Styela clava: one gene and its partner. The protein of the gene in region 1 interacts with the protein of each later gene in a pairwise test. Links are inferred from orthologs where the notes say so. Each region holds a gene or a part of one and is shown in the gene's direction. Other genes may lie near its edges.

Region 1 (8,222 bases):
ATCTACAATTTGTTTCGTGATTTGCAGGTTTTTCTCCTCATTGAGACAGACATTTTTCATTCTTCCACTAATACTAAGGTAAAGTACTTCTTTTTCTTATATATACATGGCGTTTCATTCGGCTTTCAATTTTTATAAATTAATTAATGGTAAAACTTTGAATATTCTAATTTCAAATACCTTTAAAGAGATTTATATTATTGAATATTTGTGGTTAGCATTCTTTTTCGATTAAATAGATTTCGTTATTATTAAAATGCTCTCTAAAAGTAGATTCGAGCGAGTCATACTTTTAATTATTTACAAAGCCGTCATATAGAACGGTTAAATAATAAGCTCGTTAAACAAAAATTGTATCCAAAAGCGTTATTTTTTCAAAAAAGCCCTGAGATGGCATAAACTTAAAAATGCGTTTTTTTCTTCCCGACATGGGACAAGCATATATTGACCAACTAGGTCTACAAAATCGTAACAATGCGATAAAGCGAGTATAAGCATTTTAACTTAGCGAAATACATTGAATTGAAAATATGTTTTAACCGTCCAAACCAAAATTTTCAAAATAAAAATACGCCATCCTTCTGTAATTCTACTTTACAACCTTTACCCTTTCTATAAACTTTTCTTTACTTCAATGTGTTGTCTCATTGTAGATCATATACATGTAAATATTTTTTTGACCTATATATATCATTAATTTTAGCATTGTGTATTGTATTTTTCTATATATTTTCAATTTATTAGAGGTGCCAAATCTTTAAACTTCCAGTTAGTAAGATGGGGAGATAATATAGCAACTAACCCCCAAATGTACCCCATTTCATGTTAAAAATATGAAAACAAAGTTAATTTTTCCCAAAATTCGAACAAAGACTTTCGTAGGAATCAAATTACACCAGGTTTAAGAACATAACAGGTTCCATCCAGTCATTATCAAATTAAAATCTATATTCTCAAGACCTTTGGCACTGATTGAAATAATTATATCTAAGTTCCCATCCGTACGATGTACCTAATTACCCTTGTTGAGATAATAGGAATTTCTGTTTATAACGTGAATCACGAGCTCACGTTTACAGCATTTAATTGGATTTATGATCAACGTATAAATACGACTCCGATATCTTTCGATAGGGAGAAGAGAAGACGATGTAAACCATTCTAAGCTAGTCTGGATAAATGTTATAAGATTTATATTCTGTGTGTTGTGGAAATTTACGAATAAAAACATATAGAGATTTTTAACGCATCTTCATTCACGTGGGCGTTGAAGCTGAAGGGTGAACGGGTGACTTTCAAGTTCTGAGACAATCTACGAAATAGCAATATATGATAACATCACATTCATCTACTTAACAACCCATTTATGCTATAACCCATCCAAAAAAAGAAATTCTATATTTCGCGCCAATATTAATGCCTTTCATAATATATATATACATGTTCGCCAGTTACTTTTCTGACAAATAAATATTCACTCAAAAGAGGAGATCAAGTCAAATAAATAATATATTATGTTATACACTCCAGATTATTAGATTTTCTTGTAACCTTGATATATGCCGTTATCCTTCATTCCATGCATGTAGTTTATTTTTTTAATATATTTGGGCAATAAACACCTTGTTGAAAATTTGCGATACGCATATTTTAATAATATGACATGTAGCCTACCTTACTAATAGTTGCATGTTTCTGTAGTGTAATTTGTTTGTAGTTCTGCCAGTTTGTTAAAATAAGTTCTGTGCAAGTAGCAATACTTACATCAGGATTTTTTATAATAAAATGTTTATCTCTTTGTTTTATATTTTTGGTCTTATTGGGTGTTGATTTATCGAGTGAAGTTGGATAACTTTAATCCTAACTCCGTATCTGCTGACCATATCGCCCGAGCCGAGTTATCTGAGAAACATCTGCGGAAAATTAGTTTTTCGGGAAAATGTTCATTCGTTTCGCCGCTGCGAAAGTTTGGTCCGAATTTTTGAGCATCGTTTTCTTTTAATCAAATGTTTAACGATCGCAGGTTTAAATCTCTTGGTTAGGTTAGGATCATACAACGATAAATCTCTGGACACAAAATGGCGGATGTGTCGTCGCGCAATCGCTCATAACGTTACCAATGCATGTTCTCACTTGATTTATAGTCAGGGATTCCATCGATCTGGAACCCAAAATAAGGACGACTGGAAAAATTTCTGCATTGTGAGCAGAAATAGCTGGCTTTCCTATGGGCTCCAGGTTAATGTTACAAATACAGACGTCACAGTATGCGAAGCACTCACTCTTCAAGCTTCGTTTAACTTTGAATTCTTTCCCGTATTCACGAAAAACGTTCTTACGTTTGCTCATTTTTAAATTTAGGCTAAAATATCCACCACCACGACAAAACCTAAAGATCGCCACACTAACAATGCTTCATGCCTATCTGTGCCTTGCTGCTTTGTGTTCCAAATATGATTATTTGCTTTTATGATTCCGCAATAAAGCTTTGGCGATAAGACAAACAACACAAAGCTTCCTTTATAAAGTCCAAATAAGACAAAATAAGGACACGCGAGCCAAAAATAGGGACGCAAGCTAAAAATAAGCCAAAAATAAGGACAAACCTTAGAAATAAGGATTAAGGACGGTATGGAATCCATGTTTATAGTCAATTTGGCAACGACCAAAGTGAATATCAATTAGGCAGCGATTTTGAATATCAAACGTCAAGTTTAATCTTATATCATTATCCAAATACCGTAGCCCACCATCACTAATATTTGAAAGGAATTCTGTACGACATACTAACATTTAACACAGAGGAAAACTGTTCTACTTTCCTATATATCTCAAAATACTATCATATTATACGTACAGGCCATGGTAGGATAGGATAGGATTTACATATTTATCCCGGGGGAGAGGAAATCCGCTAAGACGACTAAACCATATGGCGAACGACGGCCTCTCGTCAGGTTACCATTCCAAGTCAGGTATGGAATTAGTTATTTGTTTTCAGTTTCATGGACTTGGTGGCGGAGGAAGCCGTCTGAGCGAAAGTCGTGAGTGAGCGTCGTAAAAAGGTCACAAATCTATGAATTAGCACTTGTGTGCATTTGCGCACACGGCCATTTTCACTCTCAAGTATTGTTGTTTTGAGGGATAGATAGACATCCTGATTCTATAACATTGCAATTTAGATCTTATATCAGCATATGTCCCTGGGTCCAAACGGCGACCGTATGGGTGCGAATGAGCGCGGGTGAAAATGTCTATGTCTGAAAAACATGAAGGTTACGAAGTGACATTACAAATGTTCCAAGTGCAAATAGACAGATGCTAATGTGATGTAATGCGCGGCGGTGTGGCTCAACGGGCTAAGCGTTAGGAATACGCTCGCCACCGCACCTCTAATTACTCTGCGTGGGTTCGCAGGTTCGAATTCCATGCAAGGATGGTTATGTGCGAGAGGATTGCTGGACTCCTCGCCGTCGTTGGGTGGTTCACGTAACCGCTGGTCGGTTACGGCTTCCTCCACCACCAAGTACATGCTTCCGAAAACAAGCAATATAACTAATCCCATACCCGACTTTGAATGGTAACCGGACGAGAGGCCGTGGTTCGCCATATGGATAAGCCGTCTTATCGGCTTACCTCTCCCCCGGGATAAATATGTAAATCCTATCCTATCTATATTTAATTGTTATACTTGTGCTTCTGTTTCGGTGAGAAGGCTACCAATCGCGGTGTCGTACGGGCAGAATGACACCATAAATTATTTTATTAATTTTGACCCAGTGACTATCGGTAGCTTTTAATATAAGCATTAACATGTTTTGATTCTAGAATGTTCAATTTAAGTAGTTTCAAAGTCTAAGTCAGCAAAACGAAAACATATATGGGTTGGTTATGAACAATTGCTAATAGAGGTATCGGTAGAGGGAGCTAGGGGAATGCGAAATATATGTTTATTTCATTGAGATTCCTATCTCAGAGAGGGGGTCGGCAAGATGTAGGTTATAGGCCACACCCACTGGAACTTGGAAGTGCTATAGTGCTATATCAATATATTATGACAAATCCTCCGTGTCTGGCTTTTTGTGTCTCCAGTTCTCACGATAAATTTGGATCAGGTCGGACAAAATTAACTCTTCCTGGACCGGTACGTTAACGTACACAGGCAGACAGGTCAGTAGGCTTACCCAAAGCGTATATATAATATACACATACGTCCCGCTTTAGGCCGTTTTTTAGCGTCTTGTCCCGACAAATTAGCCAAAAGTTGGCGTTCAGCCATCCAGCATAATACAAGAACATGTTCTGGTTACTGTTGTTTCTGTGTAGCGCAGAGCTAGCCTACTTACTGCTGTACTGAGGGTGAATGCGTTTGTTCCGTTGTTTCCCCCTAACATTGTTAGAAAACGTACGGTATCGCATGTAAAACCAATACTAATTAGTCTAAATTCGAATTATTTGTACTGGCATCGGTAACGTCTATTCCTTGCTATTTTTCGAACTGAACCCGATATTTGAACAGAGAATAGGCTATGCGCATGAATTCTCGATGACAATATGGTCAATGAAGACAGCCGGGATAGCTTTAAATGTACCGGCAGACCGGTAGGCTATCCTATTAGAGTTCATTATTCATATTTTATGTTTTAGTATGAATTTAAAATCCGAAAATTGTAATTAGCATTGTATATCAATTACATTCAAAACTTGACCATGTCTGTTGATACCTCACATTTAATGGTACGTTCAAAATTAGCGTATCAAAATCAAATTTTGAACCTGAACCTCGATCCACAAATACGAATGGATGAATTATGGGTGCAAATCCGAGTTAATTGTGGATTCTCAGATGCTCAACTTTTCACTTTGAAATGGTTAGACGAGGAAGGTGATCTGTGTACAGTAACATCTCAACTGGAGTTGGATGAAGCATTAAGACTGTATGAGCTAAATGAGGATGATACTCTGTTTCTTCATATATTTCAAGGAATACCTCCTGAGCCCGGGGTTCAATGTGTGGGCGAACATAAAATTTATCGTCGTGGGGCAAGAAGATGGTACAAACTAAAGCGTAGGTTGAAGAAATTAAAAGGACGTCGTCCACGAATTCCGATTTCCAATCCTACTGATGATCCTGGTTCTGTGCATATTCAAGAGGGGGAGGCTCAAAGGGTTCATTACAATCCTGCCACTGGTACAGGTGGTGAGGCAGTGCATGCGACATCGAGGACAACGTCTGGCTTTGGTTTGAGAGATTTTGATATGTTGAGAGTTATTGGTCGAGGAAGTTATGCTAAAGTACTTCTTGTGAGTTTGAAGAAAAGTAAAAAACTTTATGCGATGAAAGTTATAAAGAAAGAGCTTGTCACTGATGAAGAAGATGTCGACTGGGTAAATGTTCAATATTTTATGTTCAAATTTTCATTAATGTGTTTATTGATATAACTAAGTAGGGTTCCAGGTTCAGCTCTTCTAACTGTTTCGAATATTCGACTAACCAGCGATGGAGCCATTACATTTTGTTGGAGCTAGAGCCAAGCTTACCTTAACAACACCAAACAACTAAAACTTCTAGCAGCTCCAGCTCCCAACCATCTAATTCTTGTTCCATACTTTTAATTTTCTTCTTTTTTTTATGTTTTTTGGTTATGATTTTTTTCAATATTTGTTTTCATAATTTTGAAACTTTTCAGTTAAAGTTGTATAATTGGAAGTTTAAAATTCGAAATTTCAAATTTTAATCTACCATACAAATTTTTGAGTCCCACTGCAGCGAAACTGCATTTGGGCTGATGTTCATGGTGAGGGTTCATGGTCACATCAAAAAAACGAGCTGTCCTGTATGTAACCCAGCTCTGAGGTAAAAAAAGATCAGGCTTCGTTGCTGTAGCTGGAGCCATTTCAAACCAACTCATTGGCCCTGTTACTATAACATTCAGATGTTCAATTCTCATTTACCAGTGATTTTTATCAAGCCTATTTTTTGAAAAATTTCTTATTCTCTATTTTTTCAGGTACAAACTGAAAAACATGTTTTTGAAACTGCTTCAAACCACCCATTTCTTGTTGGATTGCATTCATGTTTTCAAACAGCTGATCGCCTATTTTTTGTTATCGAATATGTGAATGGAGGGGACCTTATGTTTCACATGCAAAGACAGGTCAGTTATTACTTATCGATTTTAATCGGTAAGTATGTTGATAGGTATTTGTCTGTCTGTTACATGCACGCGATATCTCATGAAAGCGAGATTGAATCTGCTCCAGATTTTGCATGTGCATTCATCATATGTCGTACCAGAATCCTATTGATTTTGGATGAATTATGTGGTATAATTAGCGAGTTTAATTAATTATTTAGTGATGAGACACAAGGTGTCACTATGGAGTAAGAGCGCTGTTTTGGGGGATCCCCTAACTTTCAAGCGATAAGTCTTCGGTCTCTGACTGATATTCTCGTTAACGTGTTTATTTAATATATCAAAAGTAGTACAATATTGTTAAGTTTGTTCAAAGTGGTGTTATTGTTTTCTTTTACTTCTATGCATCATGCAGTTGAATTTAGTTCTAAAAGACATTGATTTTTGATGGTGTTTCATGGTTTTTATCAGACTGTAGATGAAATCTGTTCTAAAGCCACACTAGATCTTTCTTTCTAACTGATAATAAATAAATACTCAATTTATTAATCTTGGATGTATCTTTGCAAGTTATTTAACATATCTTTGCTTCCTAATGATTGGTGTAACCTAGCATTATGTGCCATGGAATTGATAAGACTGGATAATTTATTTTGAATTCTGCCACTGCTCGAAATAAACACCCAGCTATACGCGATTCAAGAGTCCCGGTGCACACAAATGTATTTCTGTAAGGATTCGTCCGACTAAAATTAGACTTTCTCATACAAGCAGTTTACAACAATGACAAGAAAAGAACAATCATGCGGTTTCAAACACACAGGATGGCAATTTGAATAAGTTTCCAAAACTCGAAATAAGATTTAAACGAGCGACTCATTTATAAATGATAGCTGATAGGCTTCACTTGAATGTTTATAAAACATTTTTATATTTCAGAGAAAACTTCCAGAAGATCATGCTCGTTTCTATGCTGCAGAAATAGTGCTTGCATTACATTTCTTGCACGAAAAAGGCATTATTTATAGAGATCTAAAACTTGATAATGTTCTTCTTGATAGCGAAGGTCACATAAAACTGACAGATTATGGCATGTGTAAAGAAGGAATTTTGAAAGGTACATTTACGATAATTTCTCTCACTATTTATTCTTGCTTGTCTACAAATCATGTTTAACAGGATTTTTAAGTGTATACTTTTTATAGGTGACAAGACGTCTACCTTTTGTGGTACTCCAAATTACATTGCTCCCGAGATCCTTCGGGGAGAAGACTATTCATTCTCGGTTGATTGGTGGGCACTTGGAGTACTCATGTTTGAAATGATGGCAGGAAGAAGTCCATTTGATATTGTTGGTATGGCAGATAACCCTGATCAAAACACTGAAGATTATTTGTTCCAGGTCAGATTTTCTCATACTATAATATGCGAGTGAAAGTTATTACAATCCTAATGTATGTCTATGCTTCATTTCTGAGCTCTTTCGCCCGTATATAATATAATGCATCCCCAGAATCCAGATATTGCTTAGTAAAATGTTTACAATTACAGGCACTTTGTGGTATGTCAACTAAAATTTCTGTTAGCTACGGCTCCATCTATATTGGTAAGCCTGATTTCAGCTCCATTGAAATGCGCAGGCACGACTTCAGGCCAGCTCCGCCTCCTTAGCCCTGCATGAAAGGATAAAAAACTAAATTGAAAAAAACAGGCATACAATATTTCCACCGCAATTAATGAGGGACTACGAAAAGACAAATAACACTGTTCGTTGTTTCATGTTACAGGTAATTCTTGAAAAAGTGATTCGCATTCCTCGTTCTCTGTCAGTGAAAGCTTCATCAGTCTTGAAAGGATTCTTGAATAAAATGCAGCAGGAACGTCTCGGTTGTCATCCTGAAACTGGTTTCCAAGATATAATTGATCATGCATTTTTCAGGTCTATTGATTGGGAGATACTGCAAGCAAGACAGGTTATTTAAATGTTTATATTATCAATTGAAATAATAGCGTAATAAAAATGGTTGTTCTAAATCTGGCCCCCTCAGAAAGCTGATTATTATTTACTAAATTGTGACTGGCTCA
Region 2 (8,008 bases), on another chromosome or scaffold:
GGTCATAAATTTCACTTGCGGTATGAGATATTGGATCTATGCAACCCCGCTAAAAGGACTTTTCTCAAAAGCCTATTGTCTACATTTATTTAATTCACTGTTTAGTGAAAGTATAAAACATCTAATAAAATTGAGTAAGAAGGCTTTACTTTTATGCTTAATTCGTCATATGTCAAAGCTAAACTGATCATAGCAAGGAAATTTTATATGCTGTTGTAACTAAAACTATTTTTTTTTCTTGCAGAGAAAAAGGCTTAATGAAGAATAGCATCAAGTTCGAGCAGCCTGTGAATAAGAGATTTGTGAACACAAACATGAAATCACTTATATTATTCAGAGTAATTTGCGGTAATGAATTCAAAGGTTGAACATTTTTAACCGCAATAAACTTTTTATCGTGTAAATGTTACTTCATATAGTATTTGGTTGTGTTTGATTGAGAGGAGACTGGTGTGTTCTGTAGTTGTTGTTTTAAATACCACTTAAAGTAAACACGCATAAGTTTCATATAGATTTATCCATTTCACCCTCCTTTATTTACTTTCGGGTACGTGGAAAAACAAATTGAAAGCGACAATTGATTTTGGGAATTTGGTTCATATTGGATACAGATAGCTGAAGCAATTGAAAGTTATCTTCTCTTGTGTACACAGAAAAATATGGCGGTTGTCGAATATCCTTATTTCCTGTTACCGTGTTGTGTCCTTAGAAATTTTGCAACAGACCATATTCTCAGGTTTCCGCACAGACTTGCTAGAAGTAGAGGGTGTAAGCTATTACATGGAACTTCCTCGCTATAATGACCAACAGGTGTCTAGATTGACAGCCAAACGTGGCAATCACGACTTCACATAATAACACGATTCACCCGCCTATATGATAGGATAATAGGTTCTATGGTCCTTTGACTGGATATTTCCATTCCCACCGGCTAGCGATAATTGGGTACTCCTGAAGTATGCGCGCCAAGATGTCGCATAACCGTGTCGTGAGTTCAGGTTGTGCGCCATCTTGGTGCGTATACTTCAGGAGGTCCTGTGCAATAACTTTACATTTTTTACGAGTCGATTGTCCGTGATTAAGATAATGAGAGAACATGATCTTACTTTTTAGCGGAGGATTGGACAAAAGATGATTAAATATTATTTATTTAAATCATATGTACCAAATTTCTGCGAGGCCACCTTGTACGAATCCAGATATAAAAATTCCAAGCCTTTTTTCAAGTCTGTTATTTAACGTATCGTAAACTCATTCGCCCACGCCATCGCGGATATAAAACTCTGAATGCAGAAAGGTGTGTGGTGTGAAGCCTCACTCGACGTAACCAGTATGCTCCCCCAGATTTTCATTTTAGGGGGTTGGGGTAGGGATTCCAAATCTAGGGGGAGATCTAGGTAGATATTTTGATATTAGTGATAAAAAATGGCGCTCCAGTATGTGAACCAAGATGGCGGACATCGGAACATAGAATATGTACCAAGTTAGGGTTAGGCCATAATTTCATTCCAATTTTAGTTATATTACGAGTGCGGGGACCATCCAAGTGAGGAGGTAATGGTAGAGAAATAACTGGACGGCCTGGTATTTAATTCAAAAAAAATGTATCTAACAACTTGATATTCAAAGAAATTTATTCCACCTGCAATGGTATTCCAAACGGCAAATTGTCAGTGGTAATTCGTTATATATAGCGTTTCAACGTTTTTGGAATTTTGTGATTTAAATCTAGAATTACCCGAGTTGGCGATTTTCTTCGTTTTGAAAACGAATATTTATCTCCCTCCCGTGGAAGAATTTCTCACAAATTTCTGAACCGCAGAGACGCCCGTCCTACAGAGCTTCAATTTTCAGTATGTTCCAAAATACGAGAACTTTTATTAATAATATAGTAGATATAACGACTCAGTTGTACTCCCGGCATTTTCCCCATAAAATAAACTTTCCTCCCTTTATATATACGTGTTTCCCCGAAAATAAGATCTACCCCGAAAATAAAATCATGCATATAAGTCGATAGCAGTTAAATCTCTCCTTCACGTTTTAAATAATTCATAAAATATGGTTTGCAGCTATTCCGAATAAAAACTTGGTATTTATGGGTAAATGTATTTCGGTTTTCATATTTTGTATATTTGAAAATCTCGTAACTTTCTATGTTGTAATTTTGTTTTTGATAACTGAAAATATGAGACATCAACCGAAAATAAGCGCTGGTGTTACTTTTCGGAACAAAACTGAAATAAAACTGGGACACGATAGAATAAATATGAAAAGTGCCTATTTTTCTTCTTTTCAATACTAGTAGTTGTAGTTTTATCTCAACCGTCATCATAAATATTCGATATCGATATTGTCACCGTATGCAGGTATGGTATTTCGCATAGACAACCGTTACCAAAGTCTTTGTATGAATGCATCATACTTTGAACAGTCTTATCACATTATAATCATGAAAATAGGCTTTTCTTTCTTTTTCGTCATCACATTCGAGATGATATTCAATACACCACTCTTTAGTCACCGGAGCATGACACACCCACATTTTCACTAGATGGCGATGTGCGAAAAGGTGGGGTTTACTCAGTGGGCTGCATTTTTGGGGTAACAATACGTCTCGGGTCCCGCTTTTTTGGTGCGATTTTTTTAGTTTCATGTACCCTGTATAAGGATAGGGATAGGTCTATATACAGATATCAGGATATAGAGAAAACTGTTCGGAAATATCTCTCGAATTCTCTCTTTGCTCTTCGTTAGTTGAAGTTGTTAGTTGGGATCTAAAGACTGAAAGAAGAACACACCGTACCGGTAACTAGGGGTATGTATATGAAGAAGGACACACCGTAACTCCCAAATAACGTCAAACAAAAGTATGATGTGAAAATAATGCCCAAATTTTCATTTTATTCCAAATACCAGAACGGTATCAAAAGTCAGAAAGTCGGTCTCTAGCGGCTAACCCTATTTCTGAATTTGGCATTGGAACATACCGGTACCTGCTTCTGCTGTTCTGTGCTTAGTTCAGTATTTGAAAATTGAGTGGGTTTGATTTTAACGAAGCACGTCTGTCAAAAATTTCATTTTGTGCCAGACAGATTTTTTTTAGAAATCATAAAAATCTCATATCACATTTCTGTTTGACGTTATTCAAGCAGTTTTTCAGCAGCAAGTTTCAAGCAATCCCATTTTTTGATGTTATTTAACTGTTTAAGGAGTCATGTCGTTCATTTCGCCAGACCCGAAGTTAGATATTTCAACTTTCTGTCTGAGATTAAGATTTTGGGTCTCAGCTAGTTTCGTACCTAACGTACTTATAATGGGCGTAATATAACAAATTTTGCACGTGTCAATCCTAACCCATCAACTACACCATCCAAAAATTAATGAATTATACGAACAGTCATCTAAGAACGGCAGACGAGCATCCGAAATCGAACAGCTATTTCTCTCGTTTTCTTGTCGCGACCATGATCCCAATATGAGAGAGAATGATGATGTTAGTCAGCTTTTTATCAGCGGCGTTGATGCCATTTCGGGCGATTGTACGTCTATTCTGCAAGCTTTATGATAAGATTGTGACGTCGTGGTGACGTAATTTTAGACGACGTAGTCAGATGGGGGTTAGGATTGACATATCAAAAAATAGTTACGCTACGTCCACTAGAAAAACGATATAGGTACAAAACTACAAGAGACCCAAGATTTTTATACTGCTGTAGTGCTGTACTGATAGGCTGCTGATGTACGCTGGTTATAGTTTGAGACTGTAAACCATGATAATAATGACCTTTTGTGAATTTTGAAAAGAAAAATAACCAAACATGTTCGCTAAGTCTTTAGCCAGCAAAAAATATAAAAAATAATTTAGGATTTTACGCAATAACACGATAACATTCAATATTTATGTGCATATTCAATAACAACGTTAAAAGTTGTAAAAATACTGAATTAATTAATAAAAGGACGAAGTACTGAAGTAATGTTTTTCTAAAAAAAGTTGGTTTGGCGCGGAAGGCAATTCGTTTAGTTGAAATCAAACCTACCCAATATTCAACTGAGCAGTTATGACTCATGCCAAATAGGGTAGTCTATAGGGTTCCATTACATTTGAACCCACGTACATTTGAACCCATGACAATTGCACCTGTATGCTATTTCACCTATGAAATTTTTTTTGTTTCACGGATAGTTAAACCCATACTAACCCTAACCCATGGGTTTTAGCACCCGCATATAGATTGAACCCGTGGATATACGCATGGGTTCAAATGTACATGGGTTCAAATGTACGGTCACCGTCTATAGCGTTCTGGGCGAGACAGACTTTGAGAATGACTAAAAAAATTTGGCTGTATTTTTATATCATATTTTTGTTTCGCAATATTCAAGCAGTTGTCTAATCTGCTTCTAACTTAAATTTTATGATTAGTAGCTTTGATTCAGATATCAAATTATACTATTATTTCGTATGTTTATTAAGTTGTGGCCAAGTTTATACCCAATTGAGTTTCAGTCAACGGTTAAATCGTTATTCCCTGGGTTAGGATGACATCAAATTTTATTAAAGTGGACTCTTTTTTTTATCTTGTGTACAGTCTACTGGTTCTCACTTGGTAAATTTTATGTTTAATTGTGTTTCAGACATCTACCAACATGTTGTGACATTTTTGTGTACAAAGTTAAACTAATAATTAATGAAATGGATAAATCATCCTTAGGCTCTGCTGGGTCTTCTCCAGCTGGGAATTTAATTCAAGTAAAAAGCAAATTTCTAGCTGAATTTCGACGATTTCATCTTGATCCAGAACAAGACAAATTTCAAGATTTACATCAAAGAATCGAATCACTTCATCAAATTCATCACGTCGATTTTATTGTGACTTACACCGACCCACTTCATGGTGATTTGTTGCCAATAAATAACGATGAAAATTTTGCAAAAGCGAAAAAAACGTCAAATACTTTGCTAAGACTGTATATTCACAAACGAGAGACTTTTAACTTACAAAATGGTTTTGGCCAATCAACTGTTAGAAAAAAGAAAGGAAAAAAATTACCACCAATTATAAGTTATCCAGAAGATTTTCGTCCGGTTTCCGCAATCATCGATGTGGATATTCTACCAGAAACCTTACGTCGGGTGAGGCTTCATAAGCATGGTTCAGACAAGCCATTAGGGTTTTATATCCGCGACGGTGTGAGCTTACGTATGACGAATAACGGACTTGAAAAAGTGCCTGGAATTTTTATATCTAGATTAGTACAAGGTGGTCTGGCAGAAATGACTGGTTTATTAGCAGTCAATGATGAAGTCTTAGAAGTAAACAGCATCGAAGTGATGGGGAAAACGTTAGATCAGGTCACAGACATGATGGTGGCGAATAGTTCTAATTTGATTATCACCGTCAAGCCTGCAAGTATGAGAAATGCAGTCGCAGGGATAAAGCCGCCTTCTCGGGCTCGTTCTTACGACGATATTCCACGACATAGGCATGAAGAAGAATCCGACGATGATCAGGATGTTGTAAAAGATATCACTCCTGCATCGAAGCATGACCAAAAACCAAAAAGCAACAGTGCACGACATCAAAACGAAAAGATTTATTCAATAAATACGACCCAACAAGGCAAAGAGCACTCTTCTCCTCAATCTGTACCTAATAAAACTGAAGCTTCAAATTCTACGCAACCGTCTCCAAAAAAGTCGCCGAGAGTTGGGCACAAACATGGTAGAGACTCAGTAAAGGCTAAACGTAGAAGCCAAATTAACACTCAAAATGATCTGACATTGTAGGTATTTGCATCGCCGTATCATCCCATGTTATTTTGGGTAAATGTTTTGCCAAAACGGCTTTTTGCAATTTTTCCATTTTATTATGTTTATTATGATTATAATCCATAGGTAGCACGGATTCACTTACTTATACCAGTAATTTATTGGTTACATATATGTGTGGGAATAATTACAAAAAACCTAATTTTTGATCAATCATAAAAATTAATTGATTGGCTTTTTCAAAAATTCGAATTTCACTGAAAAATAGTTTTTCTCACGGTACATTCCCAGCAAATTATTAACTATAAGCCCAGTGTGCTCGCAATTAGGATGCAGATTGTATCATGCGTTGTGTGATTGAACATTTGAGGTTGACTTAAAAAATCATCAAGATGTATTATCAGCTTGAAAATAATTGCATAAACTGAGTATTCGCGATTATCCTCAACCAAATATTACAATTTGAAGTTGTCTTCACTCTTACTACAGCATTAGGATTAGGAGGAAGATGAGTAGTTGGTCCCACAGAAACCCAATAAATAGTAAATAATGGACAATACGAAATGATTTTGAAGAATTGATACAATCGTGTAGCGTCGTGTGTGGACTCTTTTAAATCTTTGTTGCTTCCCATTCCACAGTTGATAAATCCATAAGAGTGCGTTTTTTCTCTTTAAATTATTTGTAGTTTTTTTTTCAATTATCTTGACAAATATGGAATTCCACTTTATTATATTGTTTTGTAGGTGCTGAATTATCTATTCAAAGTGTTGTTATTCCTCTATAGACGTTTTGGCCAATATTTTATTCTACCAATTTTACTTAATTATCAAAATATATCACTCAATTTAAGCAAATAGGAGTTCCTCAAATCTCGGTTTATGAGCTCTATTTCAACCCCTGCTCATGCTAGATTTGCTGCTCAGATCTGGCGCTCCAGAAGTATGTGTACCAATATGGAGGTAACTAATTTTGTTCGCCTACTTTACATCAAGTTGTGTAAAGGGACTGAAACTTATGGTAAGGGGTATATTCACTTGGCTAACACAAACCGTCCCCGAACTCGTAATCGAACTAATAAAAGAAAAATCGGAATAAAATTATAGCCTAACCCCAACCTGGTACACATACTATGGGAGTATCCAGATCTGTTGTTGTCAAAATTGTACTTCAAAATTAAATATCAAATTTTTTGGTTATAATTACCTTTCATAATTTTGTTATGTTGTTTCATTCGGTTTTTCTTCTTTTATTCCATTTTAATCATGGAAATTATAATAATAGTTTGGCTAAAGATTAATTGATTAAAATTTAGATTAAGCGTTGAGACAAAAAATTTCATAATCAAATTTCAAGTACCGGTATATTTTGGAAAAAAAGCTTTCATGTCAAATTTGAAGTATATTTCTAAATATTGACTCCCTCAACATGAATCATCATTAATGCAAGATTATTGAGAGTGGTAAAATGTATAATTCCACATTAGCTAAAAATTATTTATCATTATTAGTGATTACAAAAAAAAGTAATTCAAACCTAATTAGCCGTTTGTTATCTACCTCAGTCATTAGCATTTTATTTTTCAAACAAATTGGAAAATTGCATTAAGTAAATAGGATTGCGTAGTGATTTAATAGTATTACATTATTATAATTCTGTGTGACCTTTATAAGCAAGTTTCACATGATAGTTGCACATGTGTGTTGTATAAGCATGTGATCAGGTCTCTTAATTGAGTTTTCTAAATGACATCCATCTTTTATAAAGTAATGGGTGCTCCAGATTCCAGAAGTATGTGTACCAATATGGGGGTAACTAATTTTGTTGGCCTACTTTACATCCAGGGACTGAAACCTATGGGCAGGGGGAATATTCGCTTGGCTAGCACAGACAGTCCCCAAACTCGTAATAGAACTAAAAGAAGGAAAATCTGAATAAAATCATGGCCTAGTCATAACTTGGTACACACTACGGGAGTACCAAATCATGTGCAGAGGTTGTATAAGAATTGTGGATTAGACAATAACAATTTTTACCAAATTTACGGACAGATCTGTCATGGTATGTCAAAATTTTGCTCAATTCATTATTGTGCTCGCGATTTCTTGGACATTTCTCAAAGTTTGTGTAAACCAACTATAGATATATGTTGGTGGCCAATGCCAAACTGATTACAGTTCTTTGAATATACAAATTGATATATATTCCAGGCAAATCATGTGTATATCTAAA

Evidence for each region.
Region 2: the proteins of protein kinase C iota type-like (region 1) and partitioning defective 6 homolog beta-like interact in a two-hybrid assay, tested with the Drosophila melanogaster proteins (2 studies listed by BioGRID). The link is inferred for Styela clava from reciprocal best matches to the Drosophila melanogaster genes aPKC and par-6.

What each region holds. Positions count from the first base shown.
Region 1 is NC_135257.1:16,668,057-16,676,278, reverse strand, and holds the start of protein kinase C iota type-like, read left to right. Parts: upstream 1-4,632; 5' UTR 4,633-4,710; coding exon 4,711-5,388; intron 5,389-6,011; coding exon 6,012-6,158; intron 6,159-7,076; coding exon 7,077-7,254; intron 7,255-7,342; coding exon 7,343-7,539; intron 7,540-7,924; coding exon 7,925-8,110; intron 8,111-8,222. UniProt on the Drosophila melanogaster protein: Serine/threonine protein kinase which is required for apico-basal cell polarity in the germ line as well as in epithelial and neural precursor cells, for epithelial planar cell polarity and for cell proliferation.
Region 2 is NC_135250.1:4,770,356-4,778,363, forward strand, and holds the start of partitioning defective 6 homolog beta-like, read left to right. Parts: upstream 1-4,623; 5' UTR 4,624-4,699; coding exon 4,700-5,794; 3' UTR 5,795-8,008.